Callithrix jacchus: one gene and its partner. The protein of the gene in region 1 binds, or shares a complex with, the protein of each later gene. Links are inferred from orthologs where the notes say so. Each region holds a gene or a part of one and is shown on either strand. Other genes may lie near its edges. The genes, in order: SPINDOC and SPIN1.

The links.
Region 2: the proteins of SPINDOC (region 1) and SPIN1 are in contact, whole or in part, in a crystal structure (PDB 7CNA), measured with the Homo sapiens proteins. The link is inferred for Callithrix jacchus from reciprocal best matches to the Homo sapiens genes SPINDOC and SPIN1. Residues at the interface, in NP_612480.1 of Homo sapiens: Phe256, Ala258, Pro259, Ala260, Val262, His264, Phe265, Thr266, Asp267, Ser269, Phe270, Pro271, Gly273, Phe274, Val275, Leu276, Gln277, Leu278, Phe279, Ser280; in NP_006708.2 of Homo sapiens: Met154, Thr169, Tyr170, Glu171, Pro174, Pro206, Val209, Val210, Leu213, Lys216, Gln217, Val218, Glu219, Tyr220, Thr229, Val232, Val242, Tyr243, Ile245, Phe247, Asp249, Asp250, Tyr254, Val255, Tyr256, Asp257, Leu258, Val259, Lys260, Thr261.

Annotation. Positions count from the first base shown.
Region 1 is NC_133511.1:120,855,355-120,871,184, forward strand, and holds the start of SPINDOC (spindlin interactor and repressor of chromatin-binding protein), read left to right. Parts: upstream 1-6,075; 5' UTR 6,076-6,278; coding exon 6,279-6,405; intron 6,406-10,755; coding exon 10,756-11,085; intron 11,086-11,166; coding exon 11,167-11,316; intron 11,317-11,482; coding exon 11,483-11,608; intron 11,609-11,759; coding exon 11,760-11,960; intron 11,961-15,830. UniProt on the Homo sapiens protein: Chromatin protein that stabilizes SPIN1 and enhances its association with histone H3 trimethylated at both 'Lys-4' and 'Lys-9' (H3K4me3K9me3).
Region 2 is NC_133502.1:72,367,494-72,382,729, forward strand, and holds part of SPIN1 (spindlin-1), read left to right. Parts: intron 1-2,294; coding exon 2,295-2,548; intron 2,549-8,384; coding exon 8,385-8,618; intron 8,619-14,710; coding exon 14,711-14,910; 3' UTR 14,911-15,236. UniProt on the Homo sapiens protein: Chromatin reader that specifically recognizes and binds histone H3 both trimethylated at 'Lys-4' and 'Lys-9' (H3K4me3K9me3) and is involved in piRNA-mediated retrotransposon silencing during spermatogenesis.

The DNA of each region.
Region 1 (15,830 bases):
TAACCTTCGCCTCCTGGGTTCAACAATTCTCCTGCTTCAGCCTCCTGAGTAGCTGGGATTACAGGCGTGCGCCACTACGCCCAGCTAATTTTGTATTTTTAGTAGAGATGGGATTTCTTTATGTTGGTCAGGAGATCACCTGAGGTCAGTCTCAAACTCCTGACCTGAGGTGATCCTCCCACCTCCCACCTCCCAAAGTGTTGGGATTACAGGTGGGAGCCACCACGCCTGGCCTTACTTTTTGTATTTTTAATAAGGATGAGGTTTTGTCTTGTTGGCCAGGCTGGTCTCGAACTCCTGGCCTCCTGTGATCCACCTGCCTTGGCCTCCCAAACTGCTTGGATTACAGGCGCGAGCCACCACGCCCGGCCTTAAGCTAGTTTAGATTGAGAGTTTTGCAACAAGAATTCTAGTGTGGCCACTGAGTTGGTGCTAACACCACAGATTCTGGGCTTATGCCGAAACAATAAAGATGGACAAAAAATGGACCTGCAAAAAAAAATTATAGCACGGCATGCCAATTTCATAACAGTGGTGTTCCCGCCAAGCACAGTGACTCATGCCTGTAATCCCAGCACTTTCAGAGGCCAAGGTAGGCAAATTACAAAGTCCGAAGTTCAAGACCAGCCTGGCCAACACGGTGAAACCCCGTCTGTACCAAAAATACAAAAAATTAGCTAGATGTAGTGGTGGGTGACTGTAATCCCAGCAGCTACTCAGGCGGCTAAGGCAGGAGAATCACTTGAATCCATGAGGCAGAGGTTACAGTGAGCCAAGATCTCATCACTGCACTCCAGCCCTGGCGACAGAGTGAGACTCCGTCTCAAAGAAAAAAAAAAGTGGTGTTTCAAAGGATATGGGGCCAAGAGACACACTTCTGACCACATGCACCAACTGAATACAATTTCACCGAGGAGTGCTAAATTTTAGGGACTGAAGAATTCAAGTGGGAAACTGATACCGACATTGTTAGTAGGTCATTATTTTTCTTCTTTTGGATGACTTTAGGCTAAGTTGGCATTAGGATTACTGAGCCGAAGATCATGGCTATATATTTATTATGGCTTTTGCTGAAGACCGCTACTAAATGCCAAGCCAGTTAAGAGTGAAGGCCCCCGCCCTTACGTACCCTTCAGACAGCCCTCTCCTCATTTGGAGCTGGGTCTAGTCCACTAGCTTCAGTATCTACCCTATTTCAATATCCCCACAGCTATCCCCACTTGAGGCAGTCCACTCGCTGTCCCAGCTTGTCACTGGGATCCTAAAGTGCTACCAACAATAAAAGCTGTGCCAAAAGGAAAAGCTTTGCCCCCAGCCTAGGGGACACTATGGGGGAGTGGCCGGGAGCAACTATTTGTTGGAACAGAAGCCATTGGTTCTCCTCTCTCCTGTTTCCGGTCTGTTCTGCCCTGTCCCAGGAATCTCATGTCTTAAGGCCAAATTCACTAAGTCAAAAGAGGTAATTTATCTAATAAGGGTCTGTCTTCTCTCCTACACAGGGGTCAGTCTCAACAATTAAGATTCCCTGCTGGGTGTGGCAGCTAACGCCTATAATCCCAGTACTTTGGGAAGTTGAGGTAGAAGGACCACTTAAGCCTAGGAGTTTGAGAGCAGCCTGAGCTACACAGGGAAACCCCGTCTATTAAAATACAAAATAGGGCCGGTGGTGGCTCACACCTGTAATCCCAGCACTTTGGGAGGCCCAGGAGGGCAGATAACCTGAGGTCAGGAGTTCCAGACCTGCCTGGCCAACATGAAGAAACCCTGTCTCCTACTAAAAATACAAAAATTAGTCAGGCATGGTGGCACACAGCTGTATCCCAGCTACTCAGGAGGCTGAGGCAGGAGAATTGTTTAAACTCAGGAGGCAGAGGTTGCTGTGAGCGGAGATCACACCAATGCACTCCAGCCTGGGTGAAAGAGCAAGACTCCATCTCAAATAATAATAACAATGATAAATTAAATAAATAAATAAATTCCAATTCTTGGCCAGGCACAGCGACTAACACTTGTAATCCCAGCGCTTTGGGAGGCTGAGGCAGGAGGATCGCTTGAGCCCAGGAGTTCGAGGCTGTGGTGAGCTCTGATTTCACCACTGCACTCCAGCCTGGATGACAGAGCTAGACTCTGCCTCAAAAAAAAAAAATTCTTAATTTGGCACTTACTATGTAGCTATGTAGCCAGTGGAGGGGAATTCCCAGAATTCCTAATAACTCCACTGACGATGGTCTGGAGTCTTCCCTCATAGCTCAGCACAGAGGGTTTACTCAGCAGAGCAAGCATGCAAGGAAGAAGGCCTGTCTTTGCAGGCAGACTGATTTGCTTCTGTGACGTGCGTGTTGTTTGATGTGGTTTCTTTATCTACGCATTGTAGTGTTAAGAGCAAGGACGGGATAGACAGAACCAGGGTTGGGTCCTACCTTAGCAACTACCCACGTTTCATTAAATCTAGGACATCAGCCAGGCATGGCGGCTCACGCCTGTAATCCCATAACTTTAGGAGATGGAGACAGGCGGATCACGAGGTCAGGAGTTCGAGACCAGTTTGACCAACATGGTGAAACCCCGTCTCTACTAAAAATACAAAGATTAGCTGGGCGTGGTGGCACACACCTGTAGTCCCAGCTACTAGGGAGGCTGAGGTAGGAGAATTGCTCGAACCCAGGAGGCGGAGGTTGCAGTGAGCCAAGATCATGCCACTACACTCCAGCCTGGCGACAGAGCATGACTCCATCTCAAAAAAAAAAAAAAAAAGGCCGGGCGCGGTGGCTCAAGCCTGTAGTCCCAGCACTTTGGGAGGCCGAGGCGGGTGGATCACGAGGTCAAGATATCGAGACCATCCTGGTCAACATGGTGAAACCCCGTCTCTACTAAAGATACAAAAAATTAGCTGGGCATGGTGGCGCGTGCCTGTAATCCCAGCTACTCAGGAGGCTGAGGCAGGAGAATTGCCTAAACCCAGAAGGCGGAGGTTGCGGTGAGCCGAGATTGCGCCATTGCACTCCAGCCTGGGTAACAAGAGCAAAACTCCGTCTCAAAAAAAAAAAAAAAAGGGGAAGTGAAGTCACTTTGTGGTCATGAAGTGGCCTCATCTATGTCTCATTCTAAAAACATAGCTTACGTTCTGCTGGTAACAGTACAGTCTGAATGCCAGAAAAGGCATCTTTCACTTTCTTGATATTCCTAAACTTCACACTGATGTCAATTACAGAAAGCATCCCCATTTGGGGGATATTAAAATATGGGGGAAATAGTCACCTTAGGCTTAATGAAATAAGATTCTTGCAGTATTACCTTGGGCAAGTAATCTAACCCTTTAAGCTTCAACTTCCTGTTCTATAAGCTGAGAATAATATGACTTAAAAGAAAAAATGTCTACTAATTGGGTGGTACAATACTGTATCACTCAAGGTTCAACCAGGAAAATAGGAACCACTTTTTTTTTTGAGACAGAATATAGCTCTCATCTCTCATGGTGGACTGCAGTGGCACGATTTCAGCTCACTGCAACCTGCGCCTCCTGGGATCAAGCAATCCTCCTGACTCAGCCTCCTGAGTAGCTGGGATTACGGGCAAGTGCCACCAAGCTCAGCTAATCTTGTATTTTTAGTAGAGATGGGGTTTCTTCATTTGGTCAGGCTAGTCTTGAACTCCTGACCTCAGGTGATTCACCTGCCTTGGCCTCCTAAAGTGCTGGGATTACAGGCGTGAGCCACCATTATTTTTTGTTTTGTTTTTTAGTAGAGATGGGGTTTCGCCTTGTTGGCCAGGCTGGTCTCAAACTCCTGACCTCAAGGGATCCACCTGCCTCAGTCTCCCAAAGTGCTGGGATTATAGGTGTGAGCCACTGTGCCCTGCCAGGAGGGAACCACTTTAAGTATTGAAAACAGAATGTAATGCAGGGTTGTGGTGACATGGTTAATAGGGGTAATGGCCAGTGTGGACAACATGGTGAAACCCATCTCTACTAAAAATACAAAAAATTAGCAGGGTGGTGGTGGTGCGCACCTGTAGTCCCGGCTGCTAGGGAGTCTTAGGCAGGGGAACCACTTGGACCCAGGAGGCCAAGGCTGCAGTGAGCTGAGATCATGCCACTGCACTCCAGCCTGGGCAACAGAGCAAGACTCAAACAAACAAACAAACAAACAGGGGTAATGGAAGGTCTGGGAAGCCCAGCAGGGGACAGAAAGAGGCAGTACAGAGATTAGCAAAAGCAAGAAGCTGCCCACCACTCCTAACCTGAAGGGACAAACAGAGGAGCTGGCCTAGATGGAGCCCAGGGGCATGGATCACCCTACAGATGTTGGGACCTCAGCTCCCTGTCCATGAGCTGGAGCCACAGAGAGGCCTCCTCTGCTGCTGGAGATGTGCCTCAGCCTGAGCAAGAGAGACAAAGAGAAGAAATACCCTGGCTTTTTCTTTCCTCCTGCCTTCTCCTCTCCTGCCACTGCCTCTCACTGGCCAAACTGAGGCCCGAGGCCAGATGCTCTGGGAGACTGAGAAACTGCCCAATACAAGATTCAGCCCCCTGCAATACAGAGCAGAGCAGAGGGGCAAGGAAGGCATCTGTGGCAAATGGTAGAGAATGACTAATAGAAATAAACAGGTTTAGTAATACCTTTATTTGTAAAACCTTTAAAATACCGAAAACACTTGTATGTAACAAAATAATTCATTTAAAAATATACTGCAGTCCGGCCCGGCGGGGTGGCTCATGCTTGTAATCCCAGCACTTTGGGAGGCCAAGGTGGGTGGATCACGAGGTCATGAGATCGAGACCATCCTGCCTAACATGGTGAAACCCTGTCTTTACTAAAAATACAAAAGTTATCTGGGTGTGGTGGTGGGCACCTGTAGTCCCAGCTACTCGGGAGGCTGAGGCAGGAGAATCACTTGAAACCGGGAGGCAGAGGTTGCAGTGAGCCAAGATGGAGCCACTGCACTACAGCCTGGCAACACAGCAAGGCTCTGTCTCAAAAAAAAAAAAAAAAATATATATATATATATATACACACATATATGTATATGTGTATATATACATATATGCATATATATGTGTGTATATATATGCATCTATATGGGTATACATGTACATGCATATGTGTGTATATATATACACACACACACACACACACTGCAATCCAAATAGCCTAGTTCACACTTCTTCTCCCACCCCCATCCGACTACACGTTTCTGAATACTACTGTATCTGGTCTGATATAACCACATTTAAAGATGGATTTTCAGTGTCAGACATTTTGCATTTTCTGAGCTGAAATCTCATGAGGGCTGCTATAGAAAAGGAAGATGCACATTCTATGTCACAGAAGTAAAAGCTCACCCAGAGTATGGTTGTAGCTCAGCAATTTCATAGCAACTAATCTCTGGTCTTGGGGCTCTCAAGGGATTGCTGTGTGTCCTTGGAGAGGGTCACAAAATCTCTGGACTCACGTTTAAAAAATGGAACTCATACCCATCCAGGGTGGTCTGCGTCCGCCCACAGTCCACTCCGCTCCTCTTCTTTGCCTTCCCAGAGGGTCCAAAATGGTTTTTGAAAGGATGAGCTGGTCTAACAAAACAGATAACGTGCCCACGGTCACAGAGCTGGCAGTTGAGAAGGAATTCGGTCTCCACGCTTCCAAGCCCAGGCCCTTTCCACTCCCCCACCGGCTCTCTCCCTGCGCGGGGCATCTGCTGGCGGAGAAAGGCTGGTCCACGGAAAGGCAAAAGCGAACCCCCTTCAAAAACTGGGGGCACCTGGTAGCGCTCTCCACGCCAGCAGAAACGCCCAATCGGTTTCTCAATGGACAGAGAACCCCAGGCTCGGCCAGCCGACTCAGGCGCCCGCGCTGGGGGAATCTGGGAGCCCCTCAGACTCTGCGAACAAGACGGCCCCGGGTCCGCTCAGCCCTTCCCGCCGCCTCCCGGGTCCAGGGATTCTAACGGGGCCGCGTGCCCGGGGCGGGGCCGCGCGCGATTGGCCGCGCGGGGCCGGGGGCGGGCCCGCGGCGGGCCGGCCGGGCGGGAGCTGACAATGAGCCTCCATAAAAGGGAGCGGCAGGGGGCAGGGGCCCCGGATTGAGCCCTGATTGAGCCCTCCCCGCCCGGGCTCCCGACGCGCCGAGGTCTCGGGGAGGCCCGGACGCGCCGGTGGCAAGTTCGGCCGGCGAGTGGCGGGGAGGGGGCTGTTCCGGGCGGGAGGCTTGAGGCGGCCGCCAGCTGCGCGCCGAAGCCTGCGCGCCCGTCCTCCGGCCACCGCTTTCGCCCACGGCCGCACGATGGCCGTAAAGGCCGAGGGCGCCGCACTCGACTGCTTTGAGGTGACGCTCAAATGCGAGGAAGGGGAGGACGAGGAGGAGGCCATGGTGGTGGCCGTAATTCCGCGGCCTGAGCCGATGCTCAGAGGTGAGGATGGAGGGGACCCCACTTCCGCGTCACGGTGCGGGGCCGCCCTTCCCCAGTCGGGGTCTGAGACCTGGGTATCTTCTCACCCCCTTCAGCCTGGGGCGCAGCCTCCCCTCGGTTGTGGGTCCAGGGCGCGCTCTCGCACCTCCCCCACCTTGGTTTGGAAGCTCAGGCCTCCTCAATTTCCCCTCGCTCCCCCTCCCCCTCCCCCCGTCCGGGGTCTGGAGACATCGATCCACGCCCCGCACGCTCCGGATCTTCCGGTGCCCGAGCGCCCCCTCTCCCGGGCCCAGCACCGGAGGCCGGATCCCCAGAGGTGCTGGGTGGCCGCCGTCTCATCGCCTGAGAGGCGGAGGCCAGCACCACGGCCCGGCTGTGTTCTAGGCTGAGGGGCGGCGAGGCCTCTAGGCCCGAGGCTGGAGGCGCGCGCCGCTGCCGACCTCCAATAGAATTTAAAGACTCTCCAAGCACAACGCTTTCCTGCCCAGCACCCCGCTTCATCGCATTCCCGAGCCTTCCATTTGCACGAGCCACAGGTGTCAGGTTCTGGAGAGAAGGGCTGCATGGGACTGCATACGACACCTAGTTTGGGAAAGCAGTGCAGTGCCAGAGTGAGCTTCGCTTTGGGAGGGGACGGGAGAAACAGTTTGAGAACGTTCGCTCTCCCCTCCCCCTTCACCGATTTCTTTAGTCCTCAGGAGCTTGCAGACCGTCAGAAAACCAAGAGCCATGTTTGTGGGAAAAACTTAATATGCGTGAAAATGCAAATATCTTTCCATTCTTCAGTCCCACTTTTCTTAGGGGGGGGATAGTACCCAAAAGAGGTTGAAAGCCCCAAGGCCATTCTTTAAACTTCAGCCCAACCGAATGCTGTCTGTCTGCACTGCCTCTCATCCTTTTTGGAACTGGAAGGGTTATAAAATCAATGAGGGAAATAAAGGTCACCTCTCTCCTCGGAGCATTTAGTTAGGTTATTTTCCTACTTCTGCTGCTAATATTTGTTGAGTGTTCACTGGGCATTGTTAGAGGCTGTCTCAGTTAATCCTCTCCACTCTGCAAAGATTGCCTTATGCCCACTGTTAGGGTGGGAATAGACAGGTGAATTCATGCAACCAGTATTCACTGGGTATCTGCTTTAGGCTGTTGAGGCTACTGTTTTAGGCTGGGAAGCAGCAGTGGCAGTCAACAGAGCAGCCGAAACCTTGCTCTTGAAGAACACATATATGCCAATGGCTGAAGACAAATACATAGGTTCCTGTATAGGATGTTAGGTGGCGATAAGTCGTTCAGAGATCACTAGAGCAGGACGAGGAGAAAAAGGGGGAATGGGTATTCAATTTGGTATATCGAGTGGTTCAGAAAGGCTTCTCTAATAAGGTGAATTTTGAGCACAGACCCGAAGGAAGTGAGGATGGCCAACTTTGCTGATACCTGGAGGAAGAGCATTTCAGGCCAAGTAGCAAGTGCAGAGGTCCAGCAGCACACGCTTCTGCAAAGATTTCAGCGGGGAGGCGAAGAGAGATTGAATTCAAGGTTTTTGGCCTGAGCAACTGGAGAAACAGCCTTCCTATTTTCTGAGATGGGGAAGGTTGCAGTACTCATGGGAGATTGGAAGTGAGCGTTTAAATATGATTAAGTTTGACATGCTATTTATGACATATTCAGGTAGAGAGGTCACTAAACAGTCAGATACAGGAGCCTAAATTTCCTGGAAGTATCTGGCTGGTGGTGTCAAGGAAATTGCCAGCAGGCAGGCAGTGGCATCAGAAGGAAGTAGACACAAGTGTCCAAGGACCGAAGGCCCAGTGCAATGGCTCATGCCTGTAATCCCAGCACTTTGGGTGGCCTAGGTGAGTGGATTACCTGAGGTCAGGAGTTTGAGACCAGCCTGGTCAAAATGGTGAAGCCCCGCCTCTACCAAAAATACAAAAATTAGCCAGACATGGTGGTGCACGCCTGTAATCCCAGCTACTCAGGAGGATGAGGCAGGAGAATCGCTTGAACCTGGGAGGTGATGGTTGCAGTAAGCCAAGATTGAGCCACTGCACTCCAGCCTGGGTGACAGAGATAAGACTCCGTCTCAAAAAAAAAAAAAAATGTTCAAGGACTGAGTCCTGGGAAACTCCAGTGATGGCAGGTTGTAGACCGAGTCAGTCCATCCTCACAATTACTAAATGCCACTACATGCCAGGTACTGCTGTTCTTGGTGCTGGAGATCCAGATGCAAAACATCAGAAATCTGTGTGGTCCTGTATTCTATGGTGGTGAGGAGACAGGCAGTGAACATCCCCCAAACAGGTGCCGGGTGGTGACGCGTGCTGGGTTGGAAATGCTGCGTAAGGGGAATGGAGTGGTCTAGATGGGGAGATAGTTCTTCAGCAACAACCTGGAGGAAGGGAGGGAATATTGAGAAGAGACGAGGAAGAACCAGCACACGTGACTTAGAAGGAGTGCCAGGGAAGTAAAAGAAGAACCAACAAAAGGTCATTCCCCGGACGCAAGTGATGCAAATCAAGATGGAAGAGGTGATCAGCAGAGGCTGACGTTGAAAAACTGGTCACCGGGTTTAGCACTGCTGACGTGGATGAGAGCTGCTTGGGAGAACTAGTAGGGAAGAAAGCTGATGGCAACTGACAGGTCAGGTTTTCTGCCCATGGTCACGTGAGAGATGGGTATAAGACATGTCTAGTCTCTATTTCAGCCACCACCTCTTGTATCCATGCAAGCCGAGGCTCCTATTTATTTCTAATGCCGCCTCTTCCATGCAGCCTCCAGGTGTTTTAATTTTGTCTCGTCCTCTCTGGAAGGTAGGAGAGAGATGCAGCCCTGAGGGATCATGGGCACTTCGTCAAAGCACTGAGCCTCCAGGCTGATGCAGTTCTTAGGCTACCTTTGCTGAACTGGAAAGGGCTGGTGCCCTGTGAGAGCTTATGGTCTGTCTGCACAAAGAGCAGGTATCAGACAACAGGAGTGAGACTGCAGCTGTAAATGTGTGAGCACTGAGGGGAGGGTTCTGAGGGGATGGGGTGGCCCTTAGTAAGATGATAAAATATACTGTTCTGGGCTGGGCACGGTGGCTTGTGCCTGTAATCCCAGCACCTTGGGAGGCTGAGACAGGAGGATTGCTTGAGCCCACTTCAAGACCAGCCTGTTACTATGGGCAACATAACAAGATCCCATCTCGGCTCACTGCAACCTCCGCCTCCTGGGTTCAAGCGCTTCTCCCGCCTCAGCTTCCAGAGTAGCTGGGACTACAGGCGCTTGCCACCACGCCTGGCTAATTTTTTTTTTTTAGGTTTAATTAGATAGGCATGATAGTGTGCATCTGTAGTCCTAACTACTCAGGTGGCTGAGGATGGAGGGTCCCTTCAGCCCAGGAGTTAGAGGCAGCAGTGAGCTGTGATAGCACCACTGTACTCCAGCCTGGGCAACAAAGTGAGACCAGACCATTTCTTAAAAACACAAACAGGCCGGGCACGGTGGCTCAAGCCTGTAATCCCAGCACTTTGGGAGGCTGAGGCGGGTGGATCAAGAGATCAAGACCATCCTGGTCAACATGGTGAAACCTCGTCTCTACTAAAAATACAAAAAATTAGCTGGGCATGGTGGCACGTGCCTATAATCCCAGCTACTTAGGAGGCTGAGGCAGGAGAATTGCCTGAACCCAGGAGGCGGAGGTTGCGGTAAGCCGAGATCGCAGCATTGCACTCCAGCCTGGGTAACGAGCGAAACTCTGTCTCAGAAAAAAAAAAGAAACACACAAAAAATTATTAGCCAGGCATGGTGGTGCTCACCTACAGTTCCAGCTGCTTTGTGGGGGCTGAGGAAGGAGGATCGTTTGAACCCAGGAGGTCAAGGCTGCAATGAGCTGAGACTGCACCATTGTACTCCAGCCTGGAGACAAAGTGAGACTCTGTCTCAAAATAAATAAATAAAAATTTTTAATTAAAAAAATTTACTTTTCTCACAAAGCGTAGAAGTCAGATTTGGATGAGATCTGTTGTTAGGAGTGGGGTCTTGGAAGGCTTCTCAGGGATGGTGTCACCCAGCTCAGTCAGGGTGGTCTGGACAAATGTACAAAGGCTGGAGACCAGCAAGAACGTGGCTGTTGGAAAAGTATGTGTAGTCCTAAGGCCCAAGAGTAGGCAAGGGGAGTGGGATCCTGGGCACACTGGCTGTGTTTAGTGTGATGTGTGCCTCATGGACTCCAGGGGAAGGAAGAAGAACAGTCTGGACAGAAATGCTGTCCCCCCGCCCCACCCCACTCAGACCTCTGAGTCTGGAGCTGTGCTAAGTATTGTCGGTGGCGGGCACCTTTAGTGATAACACCCTCCGCATCTCCCCTCGCAGTGACCCAACAGGAGAAGACCCCGCCACCTAGATCCAGCCCACTGGAGGCAGGCAGTGATAGCTGTGAGGAACCCAAGCAACAGGTGTCTTGGGAGCAGGAATTCCTGGTGGGCAGCAGCCCTGGAGGCAGCGGGCGGGCACTGTGCATGGTGTGTGGTGCTGAGATCCGGGCACCCTCGGCCGACACGGCGCGCTCGCACATCTTGGAGCAGCATCCTCACACCCTGGACCTGAGCCCTTCCGAGAAGAGCAACATCCTGGAGGCCTGGAGTGAAGGGGTGGCCCTCCTGCAAGACGTCAGGGCTGAGCAGCCATCCCCACCCCACTCAGGTAGTTGGGCCTGGGGTGGGTGAAGGGAGAAGGTGGACTTGCTGAGACACTAGAAGCTCACTGTGCCCTTGCCCCCTGCAGACTCAGGCCAGGATGCCCATCCAGACCCAGACTCCAACCCAGACCCTGCCAGAGTGCCAGCTGAAATCGTCGTGCTCCTCGACTCTGAGGATAACCCATCTCTCCCTAAAAGGAGCCGTCCCAGGGGACTTCGCCCCCTCGAGCTTCCTGGTTAGTTAACGGGGAAGCCAGTGAGCCCCGGTGGAGTGGAGGTGGGGGTTTGGGGACACGGTGAAGTACAGATCCTGTGTTCTGGGCAGGAATCTTTGGGAGCCCTGGGGTGGCAGGGTTGGGGGATGGCCTCTTAAAGAAGGTATGAGGTCTTTTCTTTTCACAGCTGTCCCTGCCACAGAGCCAGGAAATAAGAAGCCACGTGGTCAGAGATGGAAGGAGCCCGCAGGGGAAGAGCCAGTCAGGAAGAAAAGAGGCAGACCTATGACCAAAAACCTGGACCCTGACCCAGGTGAAGGGGAGGCTCAAGGGAGGTATGGGCTCTGCTTGCAGGGCTCCACGGAGATCCACATCAGTGAGGATGGACCAGGGCCCGGGCACTGGGCGCCTGCAGCTCCCCTGAAGCATTTTCACTCACAGTTCCATCCTGTCTTCCCTTCCAGAGCCTCCATCACCAGACTCACCCACGGAGACTTTTGCAGCACCAGCAGAGGTCCGACACTTCACTGATGGCAGCTTCCCCGCTGGCTTTGTCCTGCAGCTCTTCTCCCACACCCAGCTCAGGGGCCCAGACAGCAAGGACCCACCCAAAGATGGGGAAGCGGCAGAGGAAGCCCTTCCCCGGGAAGAGAGCCCCTCTCCAGGTAAGCCCTCCGCAGCAAGAGGCACGGTGGGGACCTCACAGGCAGTACCCCTGGGCCGGGCCTCAGCAAGGCTACTCTGTGGCGGAGCCCAGTATCGGGTAGGTGGTGCTCAGGTTTCCTGGGACACGGGGCCAGAGGCAGGGGGATCTGAATGATGAGGGAGGCTGACCTGAGAGTTGAGTTTTTCTTTTAAAAAAAAAAAAATTATTATTGTTTGTTTTTTGAGATAGCATCTTGCTGTGTCACCCAGGCTGGTATATAGTGGCACAATCTCAGCCCACTGCAACGTCTGCCTCCCAGGTTGAAGCAATTCTCCTGCCTCGGCCTCCCAGTAGCTGGGATTACAGGCAGGTGCCACCACGCCTGGCTAATTTTTACATTTTTAGTAGAGATGGGGTTTGGCCATGTTGGCCAAATCCACCCACCTCGGCCTCCCAAAGTGGTGGGATTACAGGCGTGAACCACTGTGCTTGGCCTATTTTTTTATTTTTTGAGGCAGTCTTGCTCTGTTGCCCAGGCTGGAGTGCGGTGGTGTGATTTGGTTTCACTGCAACCTCCAATTCCAGGTTCGAGCAATTCTCCTGCCTTGGCCTCCTCAGTAGCTGGGACTAGTGCATGCCACCACACCTGAGTAATTTTTTGTATTTTTAGTAGAGACAGTTTCGCCATATTGCCCAGGCTGGTCTTGAATTCCTGAGCTCAGGCAGTCCACCCTCCTCAGCCTCCCAATGTGCTAGGATTACAGGTGTGAGCCACCACGCCCAACCAGCTGAGCTTTTCTTAGTGTTCCTTAGGAGTTTTCTGGAATTGGTCATTGGGTCAGGGTAGGCCGTTTCCCAGAAGCTGATTTCCACATATACAGTTGTTCTAGCTAGAGTATGAGAGATGCTCTGTTGGAGCAGAGGCCCAGATGGGGCTGCTCAGCAGTTCTCTTAAACGTCCAGAGAATAGATGGGATGAACAGTGAACAGACACCTCCAGGGGATACCAGCTCAGTAAATTGCCTGGTAATAGCAGTAAGTGCTTGTCGTGTTCAGTGCCCTACTAAGTTTAAGAAGCTTACATACAGGCCAGGCGTGGTGGTTCATGGCTGTAATCCCAGCACTTTGGGAGGCTGAGGGAGGCAGATCAAGAGGTCAGGATTTCGAGACCAGCCTGGCCAACATGGTGAACCCCATCTCTACTGAAAATATAAAAATTAGCTGGGTACGGTGGCAGGCGCCTGTAATCCCAGCTACTCAGGAGGCTAAGGCAGGAGAATTGCTTGCACCTGGGAGGTAGAGTTTGCAGTGAGCCAAGGTCGCGCCACTGCACTTCAGCCTGGGTGACAGAGTGAGACTCTGTCTCCAAAAGAAGTTTACCGTATATGGTTTATTGGTCCTTATAAAAATAGCTTGTATAGAAGGGCAGATGTCCATTCCTTTTTCCAAATGGGAAAACCATTTCTCAAAGAAATGGTTTCTTCTTCTTCGTGATCCTTATGTCAGTTTCCTGTTTGCTGCTGTAACAAATCACGCAAATATAATGGCTTAAAACAACACACATAGCTTGTGCCTGTAGTCCCAGCCACTTGGGAAGCTGAGACAGGAGGATTGTTTGATCCAGGAGTTCAAGGCTGCAGTGAGCTACGAGCACACCACTGCACTCCAGCCTGGACGACTGAGCGAGACCCTCTCTAAAAACAAAACATAACACACATTATTTTACAGTTCTGGAAGTCAGAGGTCCAAAATGGGTCTCACTGAGCTAAAATCAAGGTGTTGGCAGGGCTGTGTTTCTTCGTGGAAGCTCTAGGGGAAAATCTACTTTCTTGCCTTGCCCAGCTTCTAGAGGCTGCCTGCATGTCTTGGCTTGTGGCCTTCCATCTTCAAAGCCAGCAATGGCCAGTCTTTCTCAGATACTGCCCTGGTTCCAGCTCATCTGCCTCTTCCCCATTCAAGGACCTTCATGATTATATAGGGCTCACTCAGTCCAGGATCATCTCTTTTTTTTTTTTTTTTGAGACAGAGTTTCGCTCTTGTTACCCAGGCTGGAGTGCAGTGGCGTGATCTCGGCTCACCACAACCTCCGCCTCCTGGGTTCAGGCAATTTTCCCACCTCAGCCTCCTGAGTAGCTGGGACTACAGGCGTGCACCACCATGCCCAGCTAATTTTTTATATTTTTAGTAGAGACGGGATTTCACCATGTTGACCAGGATGGTCTCAATCTCTTGACCTCGTGATCCACCCGCCTTGGCCTCCCAAAGTGCTGGGATTACAGGCTTGAACCACTGCGCCTGGCCGGATCATCTCTCTTTTAGTCTGCTGATGAACAACCCTAATTTCATCTGTAGCCTTCATTGCCCTTTGCCATGTAACAAAACATTCAACTCACAGGTTCCAGGGATTAGGACATGACTATCTGGTGGGGGGTGAGGGGCATCATTCTGCCAACCACACTCATGTGACCCAACAAGCAGAATTAGGATGAGACTGGAATGTAGTCCAGCAGGCAGAGACCAAGCCTAGGTCCTCTGTTCACCTCTCCATGCCAAGCATAGTTTACAGGCACTCAGGAAATGCTTCTTGAAGAAGTGAATGGGTCAGGAGTGCATGGTTCCTTGTACCAGCTTGTCTGAAATGTGTGTTTGGAATTAGAGCAATAGAATGATGGCCAACGGGGTGGCCGGAGGTTCTCCTGAGAGTAGGGCTCTCAGAAAGCAGGTGTGCTCTTTGTTTTTTGAGACAGGATCTCTGCCCAGGCTAGAGTGCAGTGGTACCATCATAGCTCACTGCAGCCTCAAACTCCCAGGCTCAAGCAGTCTTCCTGCCAGAGCTTCCTGAGTAGCTAGGACCACAGATGTGCCTCTCCATGCCAGGCTAATTTTTAAATTTCTTGTAGAGACAGGTTTTCCCTATGTTGCACAACAAGCTGGTCTTGAACTCCTGGGTTCAAGCAGTCCTCCCACCTAGGCCTCCCAAAGTTCTGGGGTGACAGGTGTGCTTTTTTGCATAAAGAAAAAAATCCTTGGCTAGGCACAGTAGCGCACACTTATTATCCCAGCACTTTGGGTCGCATGGTGGGAAGATTGCCTGAGGCTCAAGTTCCAGACCAATCTGGGCAACATAAGGAGGAGACTCCTTCTCTATAGAAAGTTTTTTTTTTTGTTTGTTTGTTTGTTTGTTTTGAGATGGAGTTTCACTCTTGTTACCCAGGCTGATGTGCAATGGCACGATCTCGGCTCACCGTTGTTTTGAGATGGAGTTTCACTCTTGTTACCCAGGCTGGAGTGCAATGGCACGATCTCGGCTCACCACAACCTCCGCCTCCTGGGTTCAAGCAATTCTCCTGCCTCAGCCTCCCGAGTACCTAGGACTACAGGTCCACGCCACCATGCCCAGCTAATTTTTGTATTTTTAGTAGAGACGGGGTTTCACCATGTTGACCAGGATGGTCTCGATCTCTTGACCTCGTGATCCACCCGCCTCGGCCTTGGGATTACAGGCATGAGCCACCACGCCTGGCCTAGAAAGTTTTAAAAGTCCTTACTAAGGCTAGAGACTAAGGCAAGAGGGTCACTTGAGCCCAGGAGTTTGAGTAAATTCTGATTGTGCTCCAATCAGATTGTACCACTGCACTCCAGCCTGGGCAACAGAGCTAGACAGCTGCGCACGCGGACGCGCGCACGCACGCGCGTGTGTGTGTGTGTGTCTGTCTGTCTGTCTGTAGTTGCTTTTATCTGTTATTTGGGTCCCCCTTTTTCTGATCTCAAGGCAGGCCTCAGACCTGACAGAACTAGACCATTTTGTGTGTGTGTGTGTGTGTGTGTGTATTTGGGTCCCCCTTTTTCTGATCTCAAGGCAGGCCTCAGACCAGTCGTGTGTGTCTGT
Region 2 (15,236 bases), on another chromosome or scaffold:
GAGATTAGGGAACAAAGACAAAGGAATGTGAGTAGTTTACCTAACTAGCTTGGTTACTAATGTGGTCTTAAAACTAACCTCTGAGCTGGATGGCTGTCTTGGGGGAAGTTGACCAGGGTTATTACCCACTGATTGTGTTTGCTTTGGGCATTGGAACGCGTCTTTTAATCTTTAAGTCTAGTGGTGTTGACTCAAGCCTTTGTCAGTTAAACTTTACTAAATAAATGTGAGTCTCACTGAGTGGTGGGGGCCGGTCGCTCTATCTTTTTACAGCCCTCTCCAGGGAGTCTGTAAGCAGCCATGGACACTCAAGCCAAACTGGCAAAGCATAATATCTATATGTCAGTGTACTTTATTCATCTGTCACTGAGTCAGGGTGTGCAGGACAGACCCCTGCACACCCCCCTCCCTCCCCCAGGTGATGACCCTGACAGAGGTGGCCAACATGGGGCAACCCCACCAAGTCCCAGTTCAGGCAGACCAGGAGGAAGAAAGAGGCAAATTCCTCCCTCCTCCATTTTTTGTTCTGTTCAAGCCCACAGAATGGATGATGGCCACCCACGTTGATGAGGGCATATTCTTTGTTCATTCTGCTGACTGAGATGCACAGACACACCCATGAATAGTGTTTAATCTGGGCACTCTGTGGCACAGTTAAGTTGACACACAAAATTAATCATCGCAGTTCCTCTTTCATGGCTTCTGCCATTTGCTCTGTGTTAGTAGTTTTCATCTACTTCATGGGCCTGTTTTTTGAGGCCTGCTTCTGCCTGTCAGAACATCCTTTGCATTGTTAGTCTCTTTTCTCCTCAGAATAACTTTGTGTCTTGTCAAACCATGATGCTTCCAGACTCATGTGAATAAGAGGATTCCAGGAAGGCTTTCGTAGCTTAAGACCTCTCTCTTGTGTAGCCACTTCTGTCATACTTTGTGAGACCTGCCACCCTCATTTGTGCCTGAATCCTGCTTTCCTCCCCCTGTGGTCCTGTCCTGCTCAGTGAGAATTGTGTAATCAGAAGGGCTTTGTCTTTCAGGAAGGCAGGTTTCCTGGATGTTTGTACAGTCCCCAGGGGCTTATGCAGACCTGGGTTTTCTGGCCTCACAGTCTCGCACTTAACCTTGTGAATCTCCTTCCCAGTCTCCCTGGTTAGGCTCCGATCCTCTTGCTTAGTTTTTCACACCAAGGAGAAGCTTCCGTTCTGTGGTGAATACTCCTTATCGTCTCTCATGGCCCATTCCCCTCTGACTTAGCTGCATTTATGTTACCAGTCTAGAGGAAATTCTTTCTATTTAGAAAATAGATAATTTTAGTTTTAAACATTACAACCTACAATAAATTGTTTCTTTAAAAAACTTGTTTATGTTATATGTCAGACATTAATCACTTTTTTTCATGGTTTATGAAATGGGAGCTTTATATCCATGGAACTGTGGGAAGGGAATTTCTTTCAGCTGTTTTCATTCTTGGCATATATCAGCAACCATTGTGTTGGTTTTGGCCTTCAGCTTGCCTCCAAGAAGCCAAGGTTTCAAGGTGAAATGAAGATTTTTTTCCTGATATCAAGAGCCAGGTGTATTATTTATAAACATCCTATATAGATTTTTCAGTTGCTAATAATCAGAAAAAAATAGTGTGATGTTTTAATAATTTATAATATTACATTGTTTTTTATAAACTTCAGTTTTAAGATTATATGTTTCCTAGACAAGTAATATTTCTGTAGTGCATTGATATAAGCTAGTGTGGACTTCAGTTTAAGAGAAAATTGTCTAGTTTATTTTTGTTTAAGCCTGTACAGGCAGAATAAGGTGGGCACTAGAGTGGGTTAAATTGAATAACCATACATTTCTTTTTAACTTGAAATGGATTCATATTATGTAAAGCTATATACCTGTGTGATTATTGGTAAAATGTATTTCATGGGTCAGCCCTTCTGCTTCTTTAATCAACTTAGATAATTTTGAGTTGATTGAATTAAACTCAGAAAGCTGAGGACCTGATGATTAATGGTAGGGCTTAAGTTGCTATTGACTAGTAGGTTTTTTTTGCCCCTGTCTGTATACAGTTGAGGTACACAACAAGTTCCTATTACTAACATACCATGTTACACACTCACCACCACTGGTACATGGGTAGAGATAACCACCTTGAGTCATCTGAAGCAGGAATGTGGCAAACGAGTTTGTACAGATTTTGGGACCATCTGTAATGAGAGCGTATTAGCCCGTTATGTTAGATCTAGACCTGCATACTTTTGAGATAATACCTTATGTCTGTATATGTGTGAATGCAGAAAACATCGGAGCAGTGTGGGGCCGAGCAAACCTGTTTCCCAGCCCCGGCGGAACATCGTAGGCTGCAGGATTCAGCACGGGTGGAAAGAGGGGAATGGCCCTGTTACCCAGTGGAAAGGAACCGTTCTGGACCAGGTGCCTGTAAATCCTTCTTTGTATCTTATAAAATACGATGGATTTGACTGTGTTTATGGACTAGAACTTAATAAAGATGAAAGAGTTTCTGCGCTTGAAGTCCTCCCTGATAGAGTTGGTAAGTTCTTTTTACTATTTGTGCATTATATGCTTTAAAAATGATATTGAAAATGGATGCTTTTTTATCATTTTATATTATTAATACTTTCACTTTTATTGAAACACAAGCACCCCTCCTAATAAACATTATATTAAATCACTGACAACCACAAAAAATGGATCCAAAGCAATTCAAGGAACTGTGTAGGGGATATAGAGATGTGTATTCCCCCTCCCCCAAGAAGTTTGCAACTTAATAATTTATAATACAGTTATTCTAACGTTTTTGCTCACTGTTCTCTGGACTCTGGTGGGTAAGGTTATCAGTAGCTCAGATCTCCTGTGTGTTGATCTCATCAGATACAAAAGCTAAGAGAATGTGCATTTACTTTACAGTCTATATGTGAAAGTGTATCTTTGATTGTATACAATGTAAATGAGAATTGTACTTGGAGCCAAAATATAAGCAACCAAAACGTGATCTTTATTGTACACAGAGCTTATTTGAACAGTATTTGTGGGGATGAATGGCTCTTTTAAAATGTCATGTAGTGCCAGTTTTGCCTTACAAATGTTCCTTAAGACGTAAGGTCTAAGGTAAATGATAATTACTGACTTTATTTTTTAGTAGGGTGGGATACACCCAAATTATTACTTTTTTGCAGTATTTATTTTGAAATATTTTCTTATTACAGTGATGCTGCTCTTGTTTAAAATACTGGTTTGTACTTTGAGAATTGTCTTTAATAGTCTATACCATTAAATAATAAAGCTTCAGCAGATCTAGACTTTGGAGGTAGGAATTTTGGGATCAGATTTCACGGGAAGAAATTAATTGAGTTTCCTCACTTTGTTTTTCTTCAGATTGTGCCATTGTATTCCTGGGATATAACAGTTTCCCTAGCAAGTTAATTCTGCCATAGTAGCAAGTTATTTTGTTAATCTTCTATTTAGATATCAAATCCGAAATCTTTGTTCATCTGCATAAATATGGTTCAGTTTTCAAAGAAATCTTTCTTTAAATATAAATCTTTATTATTACTCCTAACGGTGATATTAAATCTGTTATTTTCAACATTCTCATCTGTTCTTAAGTGTGACTGAGTACCTGCTCTTCCTCTTGATGTACATCTACATTTCTTCTTGATCATAACGTTAATCCATTTCTCACATAAGAAACTTTAACACATTAAGAATTTTAACAGCAGAATTTTAGCCTCTGCCCCTTCTGAGACAAGACAAATAGCTCACTTGAAGGTTCCTGCATATTGATGCGTGACCTGTGGCTGTTAGTCTTTTTGTCATTGAAGGATAGAAACTGTGCAAGTATCTGGTGATGGTATTAAGGGTTCCATGTTGTTTGTAGTTTGGGATTATCTGTTTCCAACAATATTGATTTTGTAAACAATAAAGCAATTTAAAAAGAAATCCAAGAGCTTCTATGTAAATCAGCAATATATATGCCTAATTCAGCTAATAGTTGCTATTAATTTTAGTACTCACTGTATTATGGTTGGTGCAAAAGTAATTGCAGTTTTTGCCATTGAAAGTCATGGCCAAAACAGTAGTTACTTTTGCATCAACCTACTTTAGTCTAAAAAATTACTTGCTTTTCACCTATGCTTTACATAGGAAGAAATTTGCTTCAGGTAGTATATTAGAGTATAATTAAAATTATGTTTTTCTTAAGCTAAAGTTGGAGAAAAATGTCAGTCAGCCAAAATGCATGTGATGTCACAGAGCAGTGGTTCCCAAAGCAAAGTCCGGGGACCCTTGGGTTCTCTGAAGCCCATTCAGGAGATTTGCACGGTCAGAGATATTTTCATATTGATAAGTTGTAATTTGCACTTTTCACTCTCTCTTTTTCCTCAGTTACACAGTGGAGTTTCCCACTAGCTATTTGGAAGATTTGCATAACTTAGTGAACACAAAATTTTCTTTATGAGCAATGCATAGTACCAGATCATGCACTGGTGGTAGAGCTGTAAAAAGTGCAAGACTAACTACTTTTCAATTGTAAAAAAAAATGTGTATCATAAAATTTACTGTCCTAACCTTTTTTTTTTTTTTTGAGACGGAGTTTCACTCTTATTACCCCAGGCTGGAGTGCAGTGGCGTGATCTTGGCTCACCGCAACCTCCACCTCCTGGGTTCAGGCAGTTCTCCTGCCTCAGCCTCCTGAGTAGCTGGGATTACAGGCACGCGCCACCATGCCCAGCTAATTTTTTGTATTTTTAGTAGAGACGGGGTTTCACCATGTTGACCAGGATGGTCTCAATCTCTTGACCTCGTGATCCACCCACCTCGGCCTCCCAAAGTGCTGGGATTACAGGCTTGAGCCACCGCGCCCGGCCCTGTCCTAACTATTTTTAAGTGTACAGTTCAGTAGTGTTAAGTACATTCACATTGTTGAAACAGATCTCCAGAACTTTTTCATTTTGCAAATCTGAAAATCTACCTATTAAACAAAACAGTGTGCCTTTCTTCCCATTCCCAACCCCTGGCAATCACCGTTCTACACTCTGTCTCTATAAATTTGACTACTCTGGATATAGAAGTGGAATCATACATATTTGTTTTGTGAATAACTTACTTAGCATAATGTCCTCAAAGTTCATCCAAGTTGCAATGTGTGACAGGATTTCCTTCCCTTTTAAGGCTGAAGAGAACATTCCATTGTATCTCTATACCACAGTTTATCTGTTTACCCATTAAGGAACATTTGGATTGCTTCTACCTCTTGGTAGAATATAAAATTGTGAATAGTGCTGCTGTAGACATGGGTATGCAGATGTTTCTTTGAGATCCTGCTTTCGATGGTTTTGGTTATAGGCACATGGGATTGCTGGATCATATGGTAATTACAATTTTATTTTTAATATCATAATTCTAATTTCTTAGGTAGAACTACCATACCGTTTTCCACAGCAGTTGTACCATTTTCCAGTCCCGCCAGCAGTACACGAGGGTTCCCGTTCGCCATCCCTTAGTCAGCAGTTGTTATTTACTGTTGTTGTCATAGTGGTCATGCTCATGGGTGTGAGGTGATACCTCATTTGGTTTTGATTTGCATTTCTCTGATGATTAGTGATGTTGAACATCTTTTCATGTGCTTGTTGGCCACTTGTATATCATCTTTGGGGAAATATCTATTTAAGTCCTTTGACCATTTTTTAATCAGGTTATTTGATTTTTGGTTTTGAGTTGTGAGAGTTCTTTATGTGTTCTGGAGGCATGAGTTTCAATGTAAGAGTATGACAAATTTATTAATGGTTTCAGATTCTACATTGTAACTAATTTTTAAAGAGTTAGCTGTTGAATTTTGTAGTTTCATATAAGACTATCTAGAATTACTGAAAGACAGAATACTCTCCTTTTTCAGCATCATAACTTTGTAAAACTGGATTTTATACATCAAAAGAACAGATCATAACAGATTGAGCACTAAAACAGATATGAGAATCTAGTTGTTCTTTTTGAAACCTAGACAATTAGGAGATTTGCAAAAATGTAAAATTATGCCACTCTTCTTACCGTATTTTGATAGGAAATAGTTACTTTTAATTTAAATTACATTGTTATACAGATATTTTAAAATAAACGTTTCTGGATTTGTTTTTTATTTTTTGAAATAGTAAGTATTGGTAGGAATTGTCTGTGTAAACAAATGGCTTTTTTAGGTCTTTAGTAATTTCTATTTACTTTTAAATTATGTTTTTGGAGACAGGGTCTCGCTTTGTCACCCAGGCGGGAATATCATGGCTCACTGCTGTCTCAACACCTTGGTCTCAAGTAATCCTCCTGCCTCAGTCTATTGAGTAGCTGAGGCTACAGGCACACATCATGATACCCTGCTAATATTTAATTTTTGTAGAGATGAGATCTCATTATGTTGCCCAGGCTGGTCTCAAACTCCTGGCCTCAAGCAATCCTCCTGTCTGGGCCTCCAAGTGCTAGGATTATAGGTGTGAGCCACTGTGCCCAGCCAGTAGTTTTTAAGAATGCAAATACAGTTCTGAGATCTAGTAGTCTGAGAGCTACTAGCTTTAAGAAACTAGTGGGGTTCTTTTTTAGTGTCACGCACAGAGGGAATTTGTAATTTTTTATTATTACTGCACACTTAAAGAAAACCAACCATATAGGTTTAGAGTATGCTGATAAAATTAATAGCAATACATTTGTGAAGAAAATCTAACTTGTTTCTTTTGATTTAATAGAAATAGAAGTCTGATGAATGAGGAAAATAGGAGTGCTAATTGTTTTTTGTTGTTAACACAGGGTCTCACTCCTGTAGCCCAGGCTAGAGTGCAGTGCCGCCATCTTGGCTGCAGCCTCGGCTTCTGGGTTTAGGTGATTTACGACCTTGGCTTCCTGAGTAGCTGGGACTACAGGCCTGCACCGCCACACCTGGCTAATTTTTTGTATTTTTAGTAGAGACGGGATTTTGTCATGTTGCCTAGGCTGGTCTCAAACTTTTGGGCTCAAGTGATTCGCCCGCCTTGGCCTCCCAAAGTGCTAGGATTACAGGTGTGAGCCACCGCGCCTGTCTCAATTTTTTTTTTTTTAAAGACAATTGTGTATATTTTAGGTAAAGACAATTATCTAAAATTGTTGACTGGAGAAACCTTAAAACCAGTAGGATCCTTTATAATTTTTCTAGTATTAAAAAGACAAAGATGATAATTTTTACCCACTTTTGAAAAGTATTAAGGGCAAGGACTGTTAATCTCTTATTACAGATACCTGAGCCCTGGTTACACCGGACATCTGATTAAATCATACAACAAATATTGACCTGCTGTGATCTAGGTATAAAAGAAGAAAGGGAAGGTCTCAGTTTTCATGGGGATATACCAGCAACATACAAGTACCACAGATACATAAAGTGGGATAACTTTAGATCATGGTGAATGTTATTAAAAGTAAAACTGAGTAGTAATGTGACGGATTGGTAGGGCTACCTTCACCTTGTTGGTCAGGAGAACCCCAAGAGGAACTGGCCTTCTGAAGGTGTGAGGAAGAGCTTTTTAACAGGCAGAGGAGAGTGTGTTCTAATGGGAGAGGGAGAAGAGCAGAGTAGAGGAGGTATGGGCAGTGAGGAAGCAGATGGCAAAACTTGAGGGCAGAGGCGTGATGGCTTAGGGCTTGGGGGCCATAGTGAGCAGTTTGGTTGTTTTTCAAATTATAAAGATAAGGTGTGGGAACATTGTAAATCACACAATCTGGTATCAGTGACACAGTGATTACTTTGGTTTCAGTGGAGAATAAGATTGTAGGAGCAAGAGTAAAACCTATGCCTTAATAAAAAATGGAAACAAGACTAAAGGAAAACAAACACCAGTTTCTTTAAAATAAAAAAAAAAAAAACTTGTGCCTTGATTAGGTTCATTTCTAAGTTTTAAATAAATGTTCTGTGGTCATGTGAGATGCTAATACAGGAAAAGCAAGGTGAACTATATACAGGAACTCTACTATTTATGTAATTCTTCTCTAAGTCTGAAGTTATCTCAAAATTTAAGTAAACAATAAAAAAATATATTTTATACCTTGAATGAACAATTAACACTTGTGATGTGGGTACAGAACCAAGAGCAGACGAGTCCAGAAGATTTTTTTTTTAAATCATATTTTTTTCAATTCACTGACTTGTGACAAAATACTTCTATTCCTGTTGAATTCAACTCTGAGCTGGGGCCCAGTAGTTTGTGTTGGGTTTTTGTACTTCTGAAAGCCTTCACAGATTTCTGATGCTTGCTAATACATTGCATGGACAAAATTTCAGATAGTCTTCTTTAGTAAATTCAGTCTTCATAGGCAGTAATCAGTTTGTCAACTTTTATTTTTTAAATCCCCAGCAACATCTCGAATCAGCGATGCACATTTGGCAGACACAATGATTGGCAAAGCAGTGGAACATATGTTTGAGACAGAGGATGGTTCTAAAGACGAATGGAGGGGAATGGTCTTAGCACGTGCACCTGTTATGAACACATGGTTTTACATTACCTATGAGAAAGACCCTGTCTTGTATATGTACCAGCTCTTAGATGATTACAAAGAAGGCGACCTTCGCATTATGCCTGATTCCAGTAAGTATATATTGGCAACTTTTATTTTGGATAATTCAAAAGGGATTTGGATTTTAGTACAAGATATTTGATTGGCTATTTTGCAGATACATTTTTATTTTTGGATATATAATTATTCTTTTAGTCATACACAAACACAGGCTTTGAAATTTTTCATCTTGTCATGAATTTCAGTTAAGAAAATGTTTGATAATTAGTTCTGCTTGGCTTCTATAATAAAATACAAGTTGTTTTATAATTGTTAACACTACTACATGTTACTTACTTTTATTTAAAAACATGATGGAATAGGGAACAATAAAACACGTCCCTATGTACCCCTGCTCAGCTTTAACAGTTACTGTCTCATTGCCTATCTAGTTTTATCTGGTAGTCCCCCCAATGTAATTATTTTGAAGCTAGCCCCAAGACATTGATTATTTTATCTATAAATACTTGAACTTCAGAGCAGCAGTTTTCAGCCTTTTTTGGCACCAGGGACCAACTACTTTTGTAGAAGACAGTTTTTCCATGGATTGGGGGTTGGATATAGAGATGGTGGTTTTGGAGTCATTAGATTCCCACAAGAAACACGCAACCTAGATTCTTAACATGCGCAGTTCACAATAAGGTTTGCACTCCTATGAGAAGCTGATGCCCTGCTGATCTGACAGGAGGTAGAATTCAGATGGTAGTGCTCTCTTTGCTCCTGCTCACCTCCTGCTGTGTGGCGTGGCCCAGGTATTGGGGACTCCTGATTTAGAGAACATCAGTTTTAGAAAACAGCTAATTGGGGGAGCTTTTCTGTAGCAACTGAAGTACAGAGTCAGTGTTGAGACAAATCATTTTAGCTATTTCCACAAGTAGTCTGTTCGTGAAGGGACGGTAGAAAAGGATGTACCTGGGCTAATTTCATTAGGCCTAGAAAAGCTTTATTCTGTTATTTCTTTAGTTGTTGTCATTGTTGTTTTTGTTTTGAGACAGAGTCTTGCTCTGTCGCCCAGGCTGGAATATAGTGGTATGGTCTTGGCTCACTGCAACCCCTCCTTTCCCTCCCCAACCAGGCTGAATCAAGTCTCCTAAGTAGCTGGAACAGCCTGGTGCCTATCACCATACCTGGCTCTCTGTGTGTGTGTGTGTGTGTGTGTGTGTGTGTGTGTGTAAGTAAGTAGAGACAGGTTTTCACCATGTTGCCCAGGGTGGTCACGAACTCCTGAGCTCAGGCAGTCCGCCAGCCTTGGCCTCCCAAAGTGTTTGGATTACAGGTGTGAGCCACCGTGCCCCACCATGTTAGAATTTCTTCTAGACCATACAGTTAGTCCATTTAAATTGTGCAATTCTGTGCTTTTTAATACATGCACAGATAGGTACAGTCCTCACCATAGTCAATTTTAAAACGTTTTCATAACCTCGAAAGAAAACCTTGTATCTGTTAGGTATCAGTCCTTTATTCCTTCAACCTGTCTTCCTCCTAGCCTTAAGGAACCAATAATACTTGCTGTGTCATTTTCCCTGTTGTGGACTTTCATATGAATGGACTATATGGTGGGAGGTCCTTTGTGCTACTTTCTTTTCACTTAGCATGTTTTCAGATTTCATCCACGCTGTAGCGTATATCAGTACTTCATTCCTTTTATTGGCCAAATATGATTCCATTGTATAGATATACTACATTTTGATTAGCCAGTTTATCCAATAAAGGACATTGGAGTTGTTTCCCATCTCTTGGTTGTTATGAATAATGCTGCTGTAAACATTTGTGTACAGGTTTCTGTATGGACATGTTTTCTTTCCTTTGGTTTTATTCTACCTGGGTATGAAATTGCTGGCTCCTCAAGTGAGCCACCTGCCTTGGCCTCTCAAAGTGCTGGGTTTACAGGGGTAAGCCACTGCACCCAGCCTATTGGCCCTATTTTTATCATTTATGGTGAAATATTTATTCATAGCCCCTGCCCATTTTTAAATTGGATTATCTGTCTTTCATTATTGCATTGTGATAATTTTTTTTTTTTACATAATAAGACCCTTATCGGATATAGGTTGCAAATATTTTCTCCCATTCCATGGGATCTGTTTTTGCTTTCCTGATGATGATCTTTGAGGCTACAAAAGTTTTAAACTTTGAAGTTCAAGTTACGTTTTCTCTTGCTTAGTGTGCTTTTTGTGTCCTAAGAATCTTTTTTGCGAAATCTGAGGGAATGAAGATTTACACTTGTTTTCTTCTAAGAGTTTTATAGTTTTCGCTCTTAAATATAGGTCTTTGATGCATTTTTGAGTTAATTTTTGTCTGAGGTTCAAGATAAAGGTCCAGCTTCCATTTTTTTTGCATGTGATGCCTATTCAATTGTCTTAGCACCATTTTTTGAAAAGACTGTTCTTTCCCCCATTGAATGTTTTTGGCACCTTTATTGAAAATCAGTTGACCACAGATACGTGGGTGTTTTTCTGGGCTCTCAGTTTTATTCCGTTAATTTGTATGTCTGTCACTATACCAGTGCTGCATTGTCTTGATTACATTGCTTTGTAATGAGTTTGAAGTCAAGACTTTTGAGTCCTGCTTTTTTTCCCTCCTCTTTTTGAGACAGTCTCACTCCATTGCCCAGGCTGGAATGCAGTGGCACAATCTCAGCTTACTGCAGCCTCCACCTCCCAGGGAACTGGGATTACAGGCATGCACCATAACGCTCGGCTAACTTTAGTATTTTTCATAGAGACAGGGTTTTGCCTTGTAATCTCAGCCTCCCAAAGTGCTGGGATTACAGGTGCGAGCCACTGCGCCAGGCCCCTGCTTTCTTTTTCAGGATTGCTTTGGCTATTCTGGATCTCTTTCAATTTCGTATCAATTTTAGAATCAACTTGTCAGAACAAAGAAGTCACCTGGGATTCTGATGGAGACTATGTTGAATTTGTAGATGAGTTTGAAAGAGCATTGCCCTCTTAATGTTAACAAGTCTTCTAATCCATGAGCATGGGGTGTTTTTTCACTGATTGATTGCAACACTTTGAAAACATTTTTTGTTTTGTTTTCCTTTTCTTTTTTTTTTTTTTTTTTTTTTTGTGAGAAGGAGTTTCACTCTTGTTGCCTAGGCTGGAGTACAATGGTGCGATCTCAGCTGACTGTAACCTCCTCCACCTGGGTTCAAATGATTCTCCTGCCCCAGCCTCCTGAGTAGCTGGGATTACAGGTGTCTGCCACCAGGCCTGGCCAATTTTTGTATTTTTAGTAGCAATGTTTCGCTATTTTGGGCAGGCTGGTCTCGAACTCCTGACCTCAGGTGATCTATCCACTTCGGCCTCCCAAGCGCTGGGATTACAGGTATGAGCCACAGCACCTGGCCTCGCATTTCTTTTATTAAATTCACTTCTTAGGATTTTGTTTTTTTTGATGCTGTTATACATATGAATTGAACTGTTTTCTTAATTTCACTTTTAGATAAGCTCATTCTTTTAAAAACTACTCGACGGCCTTCACACACAGGAATCTCTTGCTTTGGACAGATGTAAATGTAACTAGTAGACCCTTCATGCATCAGCCATGTGACAGTCATCTCTATTCCTTTTTTGTTTAAGTTTCTCCTCTGAAGAAGTCAGTTAATGAACTTACTAATTTGTTCATCTGGTCTTGAATTTCTACTTCTTATATATATATATTTTTAAGATTTGTGAGCTGGGTGTGGTGGCTCATGCCTGTAATCCCAACATTTTGGGATGCCAAGGCGGTTGGATCATCTGAGGTCAGGAGTTGGAGACCATCCTGGCCAACGTGGTGAAACCCCGTCTCTACTAAAAATAAAAAATTAGTCAGGTGTGGTGGCACACGCCTGTAGTGCCAGATACTCTGGAGGCTGAGGCAGGAGAATCGCTTGAACCCAGGAGGCAGAGGTTACAGTGAGCCGAGGTCATGCCACTATACTGCTGCCTAGGAGACAGCCAGACTCAGTCTTTAAGAAAAAAATTGTGTATAAAGGGGTAATAAAGAGGTAATACAAATTATTTATATACTAAAGAATTCATCATGAGAATGTTCCTTTAAAAAGCATTTTTCCAACCTGTGTGAGGTTACTTGAACATTTTTTAATAGATAAATACCTAGTCAAGCAAGTACTGTTAACCTAATCATAGGAAATACAAGGGCATTTGCAGTTCTCCCATCGCTTTTCCTAACCACTTTTTGATCTTTCCACTCCTTTAATTGTCCAAACTCATACGTATTGCGAGTGTGCTGTGGAAGCTTATTTACCTTTAGAAACAGTGGTCATGTTCTGATCTAATGAGTTCTGAAAGGATCTTGTTCAACTACCTGCTCTGATGATAAAACGGGACTCTACATGAGTCTCTTGGTTAGCTCAGTTACTATAAAATTCACATGTGATCGTGTATTTGTAATTCCTTCTTAAACACAAAAGTGCCACAAAAATATGGCAGTATGATGATACTGCTTAAGGGAAGAGAATTTTTAAAGAAAGAAGTTTAGCTTATATTTCTTTATTACTTTTTAAAGAGCTGATTATGCTCAGGTGTTTTATTTTTATTGCTTGTGATTCTTAGTACCAGAGATCACAGTCGCACTTTTTGGATTATCATTCAGTGAGAGAATTTATTGTAACCAAAGAGTCAGACAACTGTTAATACATATACATTTATATGGTTCACATCAGGATACTTGTGAGAGTAAAATGGCATTACTACCAATTGTGCCAGTATGACATGAACCATCTTAAGCAGCTGCAACCCTGGTTGCCCTATCTGAAGATTACTACAAGGAAAAGAGCTTTGAGTTTTTCAGAACCCATGCAATTTTTTAAAAAACAGAAGTATAATTGCCTACCTTTATCCCTCCTTTTTTCTTTTACTTTGTATTTTGTTGTTGGTAGTGGTTTGCTGTTTCTGTGTGTTTTGTTGTAGGCCAGAGGCAGTGCATTAACATTGGTGCAATCTCCTCTCACTGTAACCTCTGCCTCCCAGGTTCAAGCGATTCTCCTGCCTCGGCTTCCCGAGTAGCTGGGATCACAGGCATGCGCTAGCATGCCCAGCTAATTTTTGTATTTAGTAGAGAAGGGGTTTCACCACTTTGGCCAGGATGGTGTAGATCTCCTGCCCGCCTCTGCCTCCCAAAGTGCTGTGATTACAGGCATGAGCCACCACACCCTGCCAACTTTGGGGACCTTTTAGATAGTACAGATTCCTGGGCCATCCTCAGAGATTCCCTTGTACTTGGCCTGGGCTGAAGTTCATTCAACACCAATTTTTAAAGCGTGGAAAATTTTTTTAAATTTCGAATCTGAGGAAGATGATGTGAAATGCCGTAAAGTTGAGGGATAAGAAGATTTAAGGATTCACAGACTACAACCTATGGTACTTAGGCATTTTAAATGTATACCATATTCTCAGTAATCCCTGTAGGAATTGTCTGCCTTCAAATTATATTTCAAAGCCACTCAGACTTACTTTGAGTTAATTACAGCTACAAATTAAACATGGACCAAAAGAATTTTGGGATATGATTTTCAAAATTGTTCATATATCTAGATTGGGGTCGGCAAACTATTTTTATGGAAAAAGTTTCATTGGAACACAACCACACCCATTTATATACATATTATCAGTGGCTGCTTTCATGCTACAGTGGCAGAGTTGAACAGTTGGGACAGAGACCACATACCCTTAAGCCTGAAATATTTACTGTGTGGCCTTGTAAGAAAAAGTTTGCTGACTCCTGGTCTAGATAATCATCAATTTAGGGTATTTAGATTTTTTTTAAATTATGAAAATAAATATGTGAGTTGATTTCTTGGGAGGCCAAGGTGGGTAGATCACCTGAGGTCGGGAGTTCAAGACCTGCCTTACCATCATGAAGAAACCCCATCTCTACTAAAAATACAAAATTAGCTGGGCATGGTGGCACATGCCTGTAATCCCAGCTACTTGGGAGGCTGAGGCAGGAGAGTCATTTGAACCCAGGAGGCGGAGGTTGTGGTGAGCTGAGATTGCGCCATTGCACTCTAGTCTGGGCAGCAAGAGTGAAACTCTGTCTGAAAGAAAATATGTTAGTTGATTTATATCTAAAAATTGATTTTAAAATTTTCTCTCTCTTTTTTTCTTTTTTAATATAGATGATTCACCTCCAGCAGAAAGGGAACCAGGAGAAGTTGTGGACAGCCTGGTAGGCAAACAAGTGGAATATGCCAAAGAAGATGGCTCGAAAAGGACTGGCATGGTCATTCATCAAGTAGAAGCCAAGCCCTCCGTCTATTTCATCAAGTTTGATGATGATTTCCATATTTATGTCTACGATTTGGTGAAAACATCCTAGATGTCATCACAAACTGCCAAATTTGTGGAACTGTGAAATGTATTATTTGTAGACATAAAGACTTGATTGCTTTCCAGTTTAATGAAAGCTTAAATGTCCCTGCGAACCCACAATCTCTGCCAGCAGAACTGGTTTTATTCTGAATAGTACAGATTGATGTGAACACAAAGCATTTTGTGTAAGGAGAACTCCTTTCTCTTAAAAGAAGTCTGTCTATTTGGAGGGGAGTTACAGGCAAGTTTGATAAAAGTTAAGCTAGTATCATAGTCATTTAAAATTGTAATAGATCTTAATCATTTCCCCTTTACCCTAACACTCTTATTCTG